2 linked regions of the Oryzias latipes genome follow. The protein of the gene in region 2 interacts with the protein of the main gene of each other region in a pairwise test. Links are inferred from orthologs where the notes say so. Each region holds a gene or a part of one and is shown on either strand. Other genes may lie near its edges.

Region 1 (7,520 bases), on a different chromosome or scaffold from region 2:
CTTGTTTTGATATCAGAATTGTCCTACCCAACCTTTTTTTTCTGGGATTTGTTTACATCTTTTTGTTGATGCGTAACGACTGTAAACGGAAAAAATGCAGTAATTTAAAAAAGGAAATGAATATAGATTATACTGTCAAGCGAATGCTTTCAAGGGAAAAAGTGTAGAAATCTGTTGATGTGAACAGTGTTATTTGTCATAAAAGATGCAATAAAAGCTTTAAATTTTCAAATCTGTCTCTGCAAATGTTTTCTTAGCGCTGGAAAGAGTGGAATCTGGAAGACTGGAATTAGTCACTTTTACCATCTCTGCAGAAACAAACATTTTAACCTTCCAGGAAACATTAAAATGCCTTGCAGGCTCCTAATATAGTAGGTTTTTAAGATAATTCTCACCTTACTTTCAAATGGTGTCAAACACTTTTTATTTCAATAAACGTGGCAGGTGGTGACCTGATGAAGCAGACTCTGCCCAGATCATTATTGTGTGGGTAAACTTCACAGATGAAAGGTGATTGTCCCTTATTAAGGTTTGCCAACTTAATAAAGTTGCATAAGTTTATGCCTTCTGAGTGAACTGTGTCTTGACTGCAGCCATAACCTCTGGCTTTTATCAGCTTTACTGGAAATGGTTTGTTTTCCCTGCACTCCAAGGTTATAAAACCACAGGACACACCGGCAAAGTGTATTTATCCAACAACTAATTCAGGTTCTAAAACAGCGTCTTTGAGCGACATACTTTAAGTGTTGTGAGGGTTTGGATAAACATTCGTGAATGGGGAGAAAATTGTTGATGCTTTTCAAAATAAAGGCTCTTAAAATGACTGGAAGGCTGCATGGATAAAAAAAAAAATCAAATAGATGCCAGCCATTGGGTCATCTGAAAAGGTTTTTGCCAAAGCTCAGGTTTATTTTGAAGGATCTACTAAAACAGGAATAATTCATCAAATCTGCCCGCCCTGGCTTTTGATTCGTCTTCCTTCTCAATGATAAGTCTCAACAGTAAATGTGACAGATTAACTGATATTCCCCTTAGCGACTTCTGGGACTCCAGGGGAATCCCAAAAAAAAAAGAGCAACTGTGCATGCTTCTCCTTCCTCTGGCTTTTTAATTCTTTTCTGTAATTTAATATGATCTAAGGATCTACTTAATAATTACTACTTTAGAAAATCATCCACATTCTTAAAGTCATGCCAGCTACAGTCAATCAAACGTCAAGTCATTTAAGGACGAGATGGATTTGAGCAAACTCTTTTTTTCACCGTTTTGTTTTGCTTGTAAATAAAGAGTGTTCATATTTTTTTTCAAGATATTTTTATTTTTCTTGTAAAAAAACACAAAAACCAAACAACTATGTACATTAATATTTTACATTTGCCTTGAGCTCACACCTAAGCACCACGGAAAGCTGTTTTTGTATTGTAAGAATGCATTTCTGCCCATTTTAGATAGACAAGTTTAAGTGCACATAACGGATAAAAAGAGATTGTGACAATTAAGAAGCATACCACATGCACTGAGAGTTAGTCTATTTCCATTAGCAGAGGGTGTATATTTCTAACTACCAGTGGGTTGAGTTATGTACCTACGCTACAAGGGAACAGCAACTCTGCTCTGATCCAGTCAACAATGTCTTCATTCTTCACATTAGGGGGGCCGGAGAGATGATCACACTCTCTTTAACTGCTACCAAACAAATAGAAGTCCATGGGCTAGGCTGGGCGGTGATTTAGCTTACTGTGTGGACACCTGAGGGAAGCCTGGGGGGGTGGGGGGGGCTTGCGCTCAAATGGGAAAGTGAGGTGGATCAGAAAAAGCTCTTAAAAGTCCATTGTGTCTAAGAAGCGTCCTGTCCACTCCTCTCCTGGAGACCTCAGAGGCAGGCAGGGTACTGATAATAATTTTTCCACAAGTTGTCCGTCTGACAGGAAAACTCTGGTCCCAAAGTCGTGTACTGGGGCGTGTAGAACGACGTGTCTTCTAGTTCATCGACTGGGAAATGGAAATTAAAATGCAGTTAGTGAATGTGAGGATGGGATATCTGCTTGTAGATCAAAGGTAATCTTAAATTGCACCGTTCATTCATCAGCTAGGGACATTTACCTGAGGAAGATTCACTCCACAGGCTTCCTGGACTGGTGCATGCTTCATTGCTCAGGAACCCATTGTTCTCTTTCTCGAGTTGCTTGCAAAGCTGTAAGAGCAACATCCAATTGAGTACATCCATGTTTTTGATTTATCACATCAAGTAAGTCAACTTATTCTTTTGGGTGTTTTATTTAAAAAAATGTAAAAAATAAAAACAGGAAAAGTAAAAGACAAAAATGGGTTTTCCTGTCAATGAAAAGAGCATGCAGGCAGGGAGGAGGAGTCAGAAGTCATGCTTACCTCAATAATATCTTGGGAGCAGTCGTAGTCTGGAAGATCACAGCCAAAGGAAGAGGAAGAGAAGCACAAAATGAGTACACTGGTCTGTGGATTTGATCCGATAAACAATCGTGAACGTTTGAAGATGCTAACTTACTGGGGCTGTGTTCGGGGGAAACCTCGAATCTGTGGGAAAACGCTGAAAACGGGTCTGACCCAATCTCAACTGACAAAGACCAATCTGGTACTTCAGACAGCCCAACATAAGGGAATTCTGCAGGAAAAAGAAGTAAATAAAAAGGTATCACAAGTTAGCACGTGGAAAGGTTGGAGCTTCAAAACGCCCATCAGCTCATCAGTATGTTCTTCCTCACCTGTTTGCTCGATCTCTGCGGTGCTGTCGATTGTGTTCTCCTGCGTGCAGAACTTGGACTCCTGCGTCGATGTGCTGACAGGAGACTGTGTGTCGCTGTAGTCGCTGTCTTCCTCCATCTTGACAGATGTTTTCTATGGAGATAAGGTTGAATAAATTTACATCTTACATGTCTTGCTCACGTTTCCTGCCTGGGTACCTATTTACATATCACTATGTGGGTCAATGGCACCATTTGGATGGGCATCTGACTACATGCAAATAAAGTGCCTCTGCAGCCACGAAAACAACAGTAAAACTATTTACCTTGTTTTTGTGCTTTGCCTCACTTTTGCTCCTTTTGGCTGTGAAAAGAGAAGAAACAAATCTTTAGGATGATTGGAATCAAAACTCTTTAGTGCCAGCTCATCTCACACAGATGCTGCACAACATTAATAACCACAATAAAGCAATCAAAGATTTGGTGTCAGTTGCTCACCTTTGCATTTGGGAGAAATGGGGAGCATTCTGAAGACCCGCATAGCTTGGTGGCCTTTGTTGATGCTCTTGTCTTTCACCTCCTCGATGTCAGGCAGGGAGTTCATTGCGCACCGAAAGTTTGCTTTCCAAGTCTTGGGATCAGTCGCCTGACCCTGGACATATTTTCCTGCAGAAAACATCAAAAACTTTGGTTAAAAACGTCTTTTTAAGATAATTAAGAAGATAATGTAAAGTTTTTAGCCTCCTTACCAGTGTGGATAGCCCATTCTTTGAACAGGGATGCATCTTTATCCATCTCCCAGCCGTGTCTGGCTGCATGTTTCCAGGGAATCGAGAAGATTTTCTTATCCTGTGATAACAGAAATAAATGGTGGGCTTAGATTTATGTCCAAATTAAGATCTAAAATATTCCACGAAGCAACAGCAGATTTACTGTACTCTTTGAATTACAATTGTTTATTTATTGCATGACTTGTCTTTGCAGCAGATTCCAGTCCTCACCTTCTCCACCCAGCGCAGCCCGTCGATGCTCTCGGACTCGATCATCTTCTCCAGCCACTGCCTCATCCTCATCCTCGCCACAGGCATGCTTGCCTAAAATGTGCAGGGAGCAAGAGGGGAAGAGCGTTTTGTCAGCCAGAGAAATACTGCTGTTTGTGTCAGATCCACGTTGTTAACTGCACATTAACGGTCACATCCGCCTTGGCTCGAGATTTATTGCCGCCGCGCAAGAGGTTGAGGAGTTCACCAGGAAGCGCAGGGCGCGAAAAGGGGGGCGTTTACGCGTGGGAGTCGATGTGAAGTTAGAAAAAAATGAAATAACGGCACAAGATTAAAAAATCTGTGGCTTTTAACGAAGACGTAATTGTAAATGAGCTTTTGCATGTTGAATTGGGGTTTTGAAAGAGAATGCGCGTAAAAATAACTAAGTGCGCCGCAGATCCTGTGGTGTTCACTGTGAAGATGCGCAAATCATGTCCATTCCTCAGAGCGCACCGAAAAGCCTGAGAAAAGTCGTTTTAAATGAATACTCAAGCACGCTCCTGTCATATGCCATGCGCATTTATTCAGATATATCAAACAAACTAAGAAAGTGCACTTTCATGAATGTATTGTTTACTTACAGTTTAGTTTTCTTTCTTGCTTCTTGCTGCAGGAAAAAAAATGAGGGAAATGTCCAAAGTAGTTGAGGGATTTTCTTTCCCAGAACCTTTTCTTGTCCTTAAGTTATCCTTAAGTTATCCTCTCGCAAGTCTTTCTTGATCAAGAGTGATCACTCAACCCCTCACAGTCCTCCTTTTATATCCCAGTTGAGTTTGTTGGGTTTCCCCAAAGTTAAGCGCAGTGCGCATGCGCTACTGCCGATTACCGATCTGTTTCCGAGAAATTGCACTGCCGGTGCCAAGAGGGAAGTTAATGAAAAGGCTTGGCTTCAGCAGCTCGCTCGCTGCACGTAGCCTATATATGTTTTTATTTTCTGTAGGGTGGTCTGAATAACCGGACCCATCCGCAGTTTACATGCGTCCGGCTGGCGTGCACACTTTGTATACATTTCTGCAGAAACTTGCGCACATAAATTATTATACCCGAGGTGTTTTATTTCACTTAAAGAGACAGTATCACTTACAGTGTCAATCCTTGCTTGTTCTATTATATTGATGTTTCATGACCATTATTACACATTGGAAGGAAAAAGAAAAGAAAAAAATAAGTAAATATATTTATTTATTTGTTTATTTATTTTAATTGGACAGAAAGAGAAGATATAATGCATGTTATAAACGTGCTTCATTTTTGTATTTTTTAGAAAAAAGTGCATTTAAATTAAAAGAAGCCCCGATATTTGGTTGTGAGGTTCTCCGCCCGCACAGCCACGCTGATGATGCATCATGAGTTCTTCAACCTGGCAAGATACAGATCTACACGAGACGAGCCCTTTAATATAAACAGCAGCGCCTCAGAGAAGTCGGGCATTTACAAGAAATGGTGTAGTAATAATGTTCGCCGCTGGGGGCAGCGTCGCATTGGCTTTACTTCTGACACGTGCTTTGTGGTGAGACGTTTGAGACCGCGGGAAAAATGATACCCGGAAGCTGCGGCGCATTCCACAAACACTTGAAGTAAGCATAAAGCGTTTCCTCGTGAGATATTTTCCCCTGTAAACCAAGTCGTGAAGTCAGAGTGTAATGCGTAGACCTGTCAGCATCCACATGGCGCAGGCCCTTAATTCCTTTAGAGTGTTTGTTTTCACTAAATACTTTTATTTGCACCTTGGGAGAGTGGGGGAAACTCCACGGCTGCCGCATTCAGACTGCTGTCCATTCTAGGGGCTTCCCACGCACTGAGGCGCGTGCCCACGCCCTCGCGTCAAGTGCATTGCTTGAGAGCGCGCGTGCCACCCAGGGAAAAGCAGGGAATTTTCCTGTGGAATTTTGGTCGGCAATCCGTGCGTGGGGTTTCCCAATTAAAGGATGCACATGGATTTCTAGGGGAAGATCTTCCCGATATCCCGACTTTTTGTTATTTTATGAAACTGAAACAACACTAATGAAATTTAAAAAAAAACACGAATTATAGGATCCCACCTGAGAACTTTCTTGCAAAAGTAAAAAAGAAGTCCTATTGATCATATTGATCATGCACTCAATAACAATTTAAATATGATATTTATGTATATATTCTGGAAATTGCTGACATAAGAAGAAAGAGTTTAAATAGTCCACAGTTGCTGTTTTTTTGCAAAAATTTTCAATATTTTCATATTTTTCAACTTCTGAACAATACATTCTTATTCTAGCAATACCAAAGTTTAATATTTAAACCCTTTATAAACAATTTATAGCCAAATATTTCATTTTTTAAAGTTAATTATGACTCCAATGTCAAATTGATCCCCCTTTCATCATCAGTCAGCTTTCTAAAATCAAAGTCAAACTTTTTCAAGCCTTCCATAAAAAATACTCTTACCCATGATGCAGCGGTGGGGCGGTTGACCTCTGATCCAAAGACTGCAGCTTCGTTTCCCGCCCTGCCCACCCATGTGTCGTAGTGGGCAAGACACTGAACCCCACCTTGCCTCTGGTGGAAGGTTGGTGCCAGTGTTTGGCAGCGGAGCCGCCATCAGTGTGTGAATGTGTGAATAGGTCTGTGACTGTAAAGCGCTTTGGGCCTTCGAGGAAGGTAGAAAGCGCTTTACAAGTACACCTCATTTACCACTCACCATTAAACAACCTTGTGTAAGGATAACACAAAAAAGTATCCATACATTTCTGTCTGTGTGCTGCGGGTGTGAAAAACACGGAGGAAGGTTTTAATATGACTAAGAATATTAAATAATTTAAAAAAAATACAAGCTGAAAATTTTGGAAACATACAAATTGGAAAATGATGAGCCAGATGGGACAAAGACTGTACAGTCATCTTTGGGACATTTTGATACCTTGATGTTTTCTTTTTTTTTTCTTTTTTTGTGTGTTTATGTGACTAATTATTGTATGTTTATTTGTAAAATGCATAAAATATAGTATGATTTGGGGAGGGAATTAACACTATTTTTCTTCACTCCACTGTTTATCATGTTTATTTAACTTTTTTACCGAATTTTGTGTTTGAAAATAAAAGGCATTCAATCAATCAACAAGACTTTTTGGCAAAAATCTTAGCTGATGATGATCATTTTTGTAACTTTTACTTACTAACACCTATAGGCTAATATAGTGATATGAATGACTACAATAAAAAGTGGCAATGTTATAAATAAAAAATAATCTTAACTAGAGAGTAACAGTCACAGTAACACGAGTACGGATTTTGCATCATAAATCTAATCAAATAAAAGTCAAAATGATGGTGGAGTAAAACTATTTTACTGTTTTTGTTTTGTTTTGTTATTTTTACAAAAAAGTTATTTATGAAAATGTAGATAAGAAAATTTAAATTTACTTTGACATTCGTCGTAAAAGAATACAGCTTTTATGCAGCTCCACTGTTATTTTAGGTCGATTACAGTTTTTTAAGTCAACTTTTGATCATTTTTGAAGGTTTCTGCTAAATAACATATTTCTGCTGCACAAATTATTCCTGATAGATCCACCATCCTTATGCATGCACGCATGCACGTATACATGCAGTAGCAGTGAATCAAGTTATTTAGGCCACCTGACAGGATAAAACAGTAATTTGAGGCTTTAGCATGAGGAAAGCAGCTTGAGAATCCAGCCCCCCCCCACACACACACACACAGTGCCATCTGTTTTGACAGCTCACTGACACTGGGTCAAGTCAAAGCCATTATTTGCAG
Region 2 (7,461 bases):
AAAGTTTGAACTTGTTTTTTTCCTCCATCTTCTGAGGAACGTTCATGTATACAACGTTCCTTCAGTCTTAGTGTTTCCTGATCTGAAAACCTTCAGTTCACTTGATTTTTGGGGTTGAAGGTTCAAACTTGGCGTAAAGGTGAAATAGAAGTGCTGGAGATGTTTGTGCAAAAACTCCTTAGAGCAAAACCTTCTGGTTGCTCGTCCCCCCCCTCCCTCGGCGGCGCTCCCGGTCAGACGGAGGGAGATGTTGGTGGCTCCTGAGCTGCTGCCGGCACCGACACCAGGTTCAGGGTGATCTCCCCCAGCGGAGACTGACTAGCCAGAGTCTGGAGCACGGAGATGGACTGAAAGATGGAGAGGGCGTTCTGGACCTGCTCCTCCGCCCAGGGAATGGAAACCTGCAGAGGAGGTGTAGACATGGAGAGGATGCTGAGGAGGAGGAGGAGGAGGAGGAGGAGGAGCAGGAGCAACACCTGAGCCTAAAAGCAGGCCAGTTCTGACAACCCCTTCATCTAAAAAATACTACAGAATGTGAAATGGGTCAGAAATAACAGCATGGTTCTGGTTCTGTCTGTGTGTGTGTGTGTGTGGGGGGGGGTCTGAGTGGACCTCCTCACCGTGGCGGTGATCAGTTTGGTGCTGGGGTCCTCTGTGTGAGACAGCTCCTCCCCAAAGCACAGAGTGAAGCTGCACTGGGGGGGCTCGCCCCCGCTGGTCCGGAAATGATCCAGTTCTGCTCAGACGGGAGGGAGGGGGGGGTTAGGCAGACAGAAACATGAGCACCAACCCCCCTCCCCCCCATTGGACAGTGGGACTCACGCTGCCTGAAGATGTCTTTACTGAAGAGCAGCACCGGCTCCGTGTTCCGCTCCATGCGCTGCAGACCCGCTTCACAGCCATGCGGCCCGGTCCAAAAGACCCGCCCCTGGCAGAACCTCTTTCCGTAAACGCCCTGCGGTTGGGAGGTCAGCACCACCCCCCTCTCCATGAAGGGCAGCAGGGTGAAAATGGCTTGGCGCTGCTGGCCGGCGGGCAGCGTGGGGGGTGGCTCCGGCAGCAGGATCCGCGGGAAGCTCTTGTTCAGGGCGGCCGGCGTCGGCGGCAGGGCGGACGACGGCTGGTACAGGATCCTGACGTCGGAGCCGTGGATCTGCCGCCGGGCCACCTCCTGCCCCAGATACTGAACCGCCACCACGATGGAGTCCTGACCTGCAGACAGCAAACATCCCCGTCACCGTCCGGGGAGGGCGGGGCTTCACGAACGTCATCCCGCCTCCCGTTACCTGGAGCAGGGGGGGAGACGCTCTCCTCGATGCGCACGTCCAGCTGGATCTCCCCTAGAGCTGCAGAAACGCCAAACCCGTTACGGCGAGGAACATCAAGCAGAATCCTTCAGTGGGGGAAAAGACTCACCGTCGGTTTGCAGGACGGTGCTGCTCTGCGGGGGCTCCTCCATCGGTGACGGGATGGCGCTCTGCAGCAGAAGCTCCACCTCCAGCTGTTGGAATGAGGAGGAAGAAAGCCTTCATGACCTCCCCGCCGTTTCCGATAGCAACCAAACCAACCAACCCAACTTCCTGAAGGATGTTCAGCGGGAGGCTTCGGCACCGTCCCGCCTAACTCGCCTGTGGGGGCGGAGCCTCGTCGGTTTTCATCTGTTTGACCAGACTGGGTTCGCTCTGGGCCTCGCTGCCGCGCCTCTTCAGCTTCCTGCTGCCCTTTTCCTTGCTTTTCTTCTCGGGCATCACCAAACCTGGAGCGGGAAGTACAAAAACCTGCCGCGTTAGCCATGCGGGTGGGGGCGGGACACCGCCACAGAGCGCGCTCAGAGAGCACCAGCATGCACGGACTAACTTAGATATTTCTTTGAATCTGTAGACGTCTATTACTAAATGATTCATTAACTATTTCATGTCAAATTTTTAAACTTCTGCAGGAAAGATAAGGGGTTAGATAAGAAACCAGGAAAAAGTAATAGAGACTCTAAAAAAAAAGAGAGCCTCATGGTTCAAATTGGGGGGGGGTAAGCAAAGTGGCCCCACCCTGCTCGCTGATGGGGACGAGCCGGTAGACCTTGTAGGGCTCCGAGATGTCCAGCTGGGCTCGCTCCGGAACCTCCTGGAACTCCGGACTCTTGTTAAGAGCGCAGCGGAGGCGCGTCTTCCAGCCAGCCGGGTTGTCCTCACCGCCGTCCGTCAGCTTTCCCTTAAACTCCGCCCACGCCTGCAGACACGGAGCCGTCAGTCTTTAGCAGCCGCCATCGCTCCGGTCCTGATCCACATCCTCACCTTAAAGATGGCGGCGTCTTCGTCTTTACGAAAGTCCTGCTTTCCGGCGTGTTTCCAGGGGATCCGGAACATGGTTTTGGCGTCGTCGTCCCACATGACGCCCGGGTACTTCCCGCTGCTGACCTGTGGATCCCAGAAGACATCAGAGGGTCGCTGGTTTGAATCTTTTTGTAGTTTTCCTCCTAAATGTGATCCAAACACAGAAGTGACCGTTGCAGTTCCACAGCAGACCACCAGAGGCAGCGATCTGCTGAACCCCCCAAAGTTAAAAAGTCAATGTTCTTAAGATGATGGTCAACAACTTTCCCAAACCATTGACGTAAAAACGAACGGACGGCTCAACCCCCCCCCCCCCCCCTTTATGTTCCCAAGGAACATAGGGGGGGGGGGGGGGGGGGGGAGGAAGTACCATTCCAGTACCGGGCGCCGCCATGTTGAAACCAGTCGACAGTGATTGGTGCAGGTCACTCTGGGTTATGGTATCTATGGCAACTACTGTCGGCATCGCCATAGATACGAGGACTCAGAGCGACCTGGACCAATCCCTGTCGACTGGTTTCAACATGGCGGCGCCCGTATCAGGAAGCAGTGGCGAGGGATTTGGCCTCATTTCGCCAGAGCTGGAGGTCAGGCATGCCCTGTGGGTGACGTCACGCCTCCATGCGTCCGTCGTCTATACAGTCGGTGTGGTGAAAACCAAACTTTGGAACACATGACATCAAACTGTGAGCAACATTTAAAGAATCTACGTGTCCGTGGCTCATATGAATGAATAAGGTGTATCTCTGCAACACACAGAGATTATATATGCTGCAATATTTACACCATCAGTAATCCACAAGATTGATTGACATTAGAATCCAGGTTGACGTGTTAAGTTTACCCTGACCTTTGTCTGAAGGTTTTAATGCATCAACATATACCGTGTTTACTTTAGGACAGGGCATTTTATCCCCCCACCCCCACCCCACCTGGAGGAGACTCACCTGCTCGATGATCCACGAGCGCAGCTTGCGCGTGGAGCGCATCCTCACCGCCACCATGGCCTAATAAAACGGGTTTTTTTACCTAACAGGCGGAAGTAACCTGTAGGCATAAACAAGAAAACGCGGTTATTTATTTATTGATTCATTGAGTTGAACTAGATCTTTTTTTTTCATCATGACACCTCAAACTAAAAAAAAAAAAAAACTTATAAACAAGTGACAGAACAACAGCAAAACGAGAAGTGTGCGCGAGCGCGCGCGGTCCATGTTTTTCAGAAGAAGATGATAAGCCGAGCTCGTATAATCTCGCATGTTTCGGACCGAAACTTTTCAGTTAATCTATTTTTATAACAGTGAGCCCTAACACCCCACCCCCACCGCTCCCCAAATCCACAGTAACGGAATTAGGTTTCGTTACCTCTGCGGTGTTTCCTCTGTGAAGCCGTCGCTTTCTGTTGCTCTCAAGTTCGAATCCGTCAGTCCCCGTCCAGCCCCCGGACACAGCCTTTTCCCCGAAACCACGTGACTTTACCGAAACGACCCACCGCTGACCGCTAGAGGGCGACAAAGTACACCGTTTATTGTGTTCAGGAGAACAAAACACAGAAACAAACACTCGGGATAGAAAAGCAAACAAAAAGACATAAAAAAAGGGTCGACTCCACATTAAAGCATTATTCAATTAATTTGCTTCATCTGTCCTTTAGAAAAATACATTTTCAATACCAACAGGGGTATCTCATCAGCAGTCATTCAAACCAACTACATCTTCTGACTGGATGGTTCAACATCCAGTCAAAATCAAACCCTGTGCAGGAGAAAATGACACAAAAATGCCAAATCTAAAAAAATGACAGCTAAAAAAGATGAACAAAAATCAACTGACATTAGGATTCTACATTAATAAAAATGAGTGCTTCCTTTCTGAACCTTTGCGCTTCTGTTACCCTCAGTGTAACCAGCCAAAACTTCCCCACAGGGTAATTACCCAAACATTACACTCAAAACTTCTATACTTCCTTAAAATATATTTTAAAATAATAATAAACCATTTAAGGGTACACGGTAATCACACAACAGAGCAAACTTGAATAAGTGTGATGTCATGTCCTGTTTACCAGTGTGGAGAAAAGAGTTATGACGCATGTTCCCGTTTGACAGTGAATTCTGGGTAATAAATGCCAGTAGGTAATTTTAACTCTTTGTCACATGGTGAGAAAATAAGGCAGAGATGCAGCCCAGAAAAAAACGATGTTGACTTGCAGGCAGGTTTGCACAAGTGGAGGAATGAATGAAAAGGAAGTGTAGAACAGGGATCCTCAACCCCTGGACTGAAACACAAAAACTCACAGACGCACAACGGATAATCTCACTTCAGGTTTATTCAGGTCAATCCAACATTTTAAAGAAACTACAATCATGGTTCCACCTGATTTTTATTGAGCGGGTTAGACAGTCAAATCGGAACGATCAGATCTTCAAAGATGAAAATGATTCGTGGCATGAAGCCGAGACACGACCACAGAAGAGCAAACGCCGTCAGTGAGGGGAGACAATCCTCCATCACAGACACAAAACTCAAGCTGATGCCACTTCCGCTGCGTTTCTTCATGTTTTTCGAGGAACTTTCTCTCCCAGAGGAACCTCCATCAGTTTCTGTGGGACACAGCAGGACGTGCATGAGTGGGGGGTGTATCAGCCGTGGTTAGGCCGTCCCGCAGCTCACCACTAACCTTCAGCAGGCGGGCGTGGTAGTCGTTGTCGTCCTCCGCCTCTGCCCTCTGCGTGTCCACCTGGTAGCGCTCACAGGCCCGGGTCAGCTCCTGGCTTTGGTAGAGCGGCGCAGGATCCAGGGAGTGAGCGTTGATCAGACTCACCAGGTACTCTCTGTAGTGTTTGCTGCAGGGCAGACAGGGAGTAGAACCCGCAGCTTCAGAGGAGCTTCAAAAGCCTCACAGAGATGCTGATGTCCCGTCCTTTGAGGAGAAATTTCTCCTTTTGATCTTTACTGTTTAGCTGCTTAAATCCCCACTAATATATAAAGTCTTTGTAATTTAAACTGAATTAATGTGTTCTCATCAAAAGCTTCATTTCTGCTAACCGGTGATTTCAAATAAAAACAAAAATGCCGTTTCTGCCAAGTCCCACCACCATTTTTTTATTCATGATGAAGCCGTTTTTAGCCAAAATGTAAATAAATGCTGTTGTTTTCATAGTGTCTGCAGAGCGGCAGGAGTTCATGACAAATCTGACACTGAGTCGGCCCCCTTAGTAACCCCGCCCCCTCTTCCCCTCGCCATTGCTGAGAGTTCGTGGTTTCTACGTCACATATGCGACCTTGTTCCTCTGCCCCCGACTCATGATTGGAATCAGGAAATCCTCCGATACGTTAAAGCAGAGCTCATAATGCAGACGTTTTACTCACTCGCAGAGTCCCGCCTGACCCGGCTGCGTTTGGACGCCGCAGGGAGAGTCCACCTGCTGCCCGCCCTCGTCTTTCTGCTCCATCACGCCGCAGGCGTCTGCGTCAGAAGCACTTTAGAATCCTCCAGCCTTTGGCGGCGGAGCGGCGGGCGGACACAGACTTACCCGTTTGAGCCCCGCTGGACGGATCCGTGTTGTAGCCGACTCTGTTCCTCTGAGCACAAAAAAAACAGAAACGTCAGCGTGACGGCGTCAGCGTGACGGCGTCAGCGTGACGGCGTCAGCGTGACGGCGTCAGCGTGACGGCGTCAGCGTGACGGCGTCAGCGGCCCTCTCCTCTTCGCAAACACAGAAGCTGACCTGCAGCAGCGCCTGCAGCCGAGCCGCATCCCAGTCCCGCAGGTAGAAGAGGCAGTCCCGAGGGTGGTGGGCGTGCAGACCGGGGTAACTGCACTGAGGAGCTTTGCACGCAGTCTGCAGGAGAGCAGCAGATGCTGTGAGGATCAAAACATCTCATACCTTTTAAGAAAATACCTCAGAGATGGGAAACAATCAAAGAACTTGAACATCCTTTCCGTCTGCAGGAAGCCCCTCCCACCGGCCCAGCTACATCTGAATGTTTGAGCTTCAAACATGGCAGAGATCTTTCCTGTTCCGTTTTCTGCATTCTCATCTGAGCATGTGCAGAAGTCACCTGCCGCTCACCTTGTGGTACGGGTTGTTGCAGCCGCTGCAGAACTGGTACCTGCACTGGGAGCAGGTGAAGTGCATGCAGCCGCCCTTGGTTAGCGCGTACTGGAAGCCGCACTGGAGACAGGCTGAGGGAGAAACGGGGACGGACACCTTAGTCCAAACAGGCTCCTTTCACTTCAGACCGCTTCTTCCCGTTTCGGGCCCTTCTTTGAACAGTTTTTTAACTCGTGTTCCTCTGACTGCAGGAACAACAGAGGTTGTTTCGGAGTCTAAATATGTGTGTTGGAGGGGCGAAGAGCTCTCAGGTAAACACTCACTGATGCCGTTGTCTCTCAGGTAACCAGCCAGGCCCTGCTTCTGGTACTCCGGGTCGTTGTCCCTCTTCCACTGCTGGAACTGCTCACAGGAGACGTCCTGGTGTTGGGGCTCCCACTGAAGCACAGACACAACTCCTTCAGCCCCGATCACCACGAAGAAGATCTGAGAGGAAGGGCTGAAGGTCTTCTGCAAAGCCCAACTCACCGCCTTCTTGCATTTGGCGCAGAAACTCTTGTGGCATGAGAGGCAGGTGACCTTCAGCTGGTCTCCATCGTTGATAAACCCAGAGGTGCACTGCAGACACACACACACACACACCTGTTGCAGCCTAACACACACACAGTGAAGCCGCCCCCCCGCGTTGATCTTGTACAGCCTTGGTCTAACCCAACCCTCCTTTAGCCCAGAACCCCAAACATAAGCAGCTTCATTTTATTCACTTCATTTTTCTACAAACGTTAAAACTTTGAGTTTAAACGAGAAAAGAAAGACGTCTGAGACAAGTGTAGAAAGTGTAGCGAAGAGTTTTACAGCTTTAAAACGCAATGTGTGGGTAGATCGCAGGACAGCAAAAAAACGAATCCTGCTTTTCTCAGAGTCCAAGTCGTGTTTCTTGCATAGTTTGGCCAGAGGTGAAACTTAGACGCGATTCTTCTAAACATAAATACTCTCAAATGTTTGTTATTTTCCCACTAACAACCACTAGAGGGCGCTGTAGGTGTGCATGTGTATTTACAGTCAGGGCCATA

The links.
Region 1: the proteins of irf9 (region 2) and interferon regulatory factor 1 interact in a two-hybrid assay, tested with the Homo sapiens proteins (2 studies listed by BioGRID and IntAct). The link is inferred for Oryzias latipes from reciprocal best matches to the Homo sapiens genes IRF9 and IRF1.

What each region holds. Positions count from the first base shown.
Region 1 is NC_019872.2:4,966,772-4,974,291, reverse strand, and holds interferon regulatory factor 1, read right to left. Parts: upstream 4,504-7,520; 5' UTR 4,345-4,503; intron 3,815-4,344; 5' UTR 3,809-3,814; coding exon 3,722-3,808; intron 3,570-3,721; coding exon 3,470-3,569; intron 3,387-3,469; coding exon 3,219-3,386; intron 3,085-3,218; coding exon 3,047-3,084; intron 2,875-3,046; coding exon 2,742-2,874; intron 2,642-2,741; coding exon 2,525-2,641; intron 2,418-2,524; coding exon 2,389-2,417; intron 2,195-2,388; coding exon 2,104-2,194; intron 1,993-2,103; coding exon 1,874-1,992; 3' UTR 1,298-1,873; downstream 1-1,297. UniProt on the Homo sapiens protein: Transcriptional regulator which displays a remarkable functional diversity in the regulation of cellular responses.
Region 2 is NC_019878.2:23,623,906-23,631,366, forward strand, and holds the start of irf9 (interferon regulatory factor 9), read right to left. Parts: upstream 3,809-7,461; 5' UTR 3,696-3,808; intron 3,378-3,695; 5' UTR 3,335-3,377; coding exon 3,278-3,334; intron 2,415-3,277; coding exon 2,292-2,414; intron 2,227-2,291; coding exon 2,046-2,226; intron 1,757-2,045; coding exon 1,629-1,756; intron 1,502-1,628; coding exon 1,417-1,501; intron 1,347-1,416; coding exon 1,287-1,346; intron 1,213-1,286; coding exon 823-1,212; intron 737-822; coding exon 621-736; intron 402-620; coding exon 234-401; 3' UTR 1-233. Other genes in the region: E3 ubiquitin-protein ligase RNF31, read right to left, coding at 4,886-4,933, 5,011-5,176, 5,703-5,799, 5,867-5,915, 6,062-6,175, 6,407-6,519, 6,712-6,826, 6,917-7,006.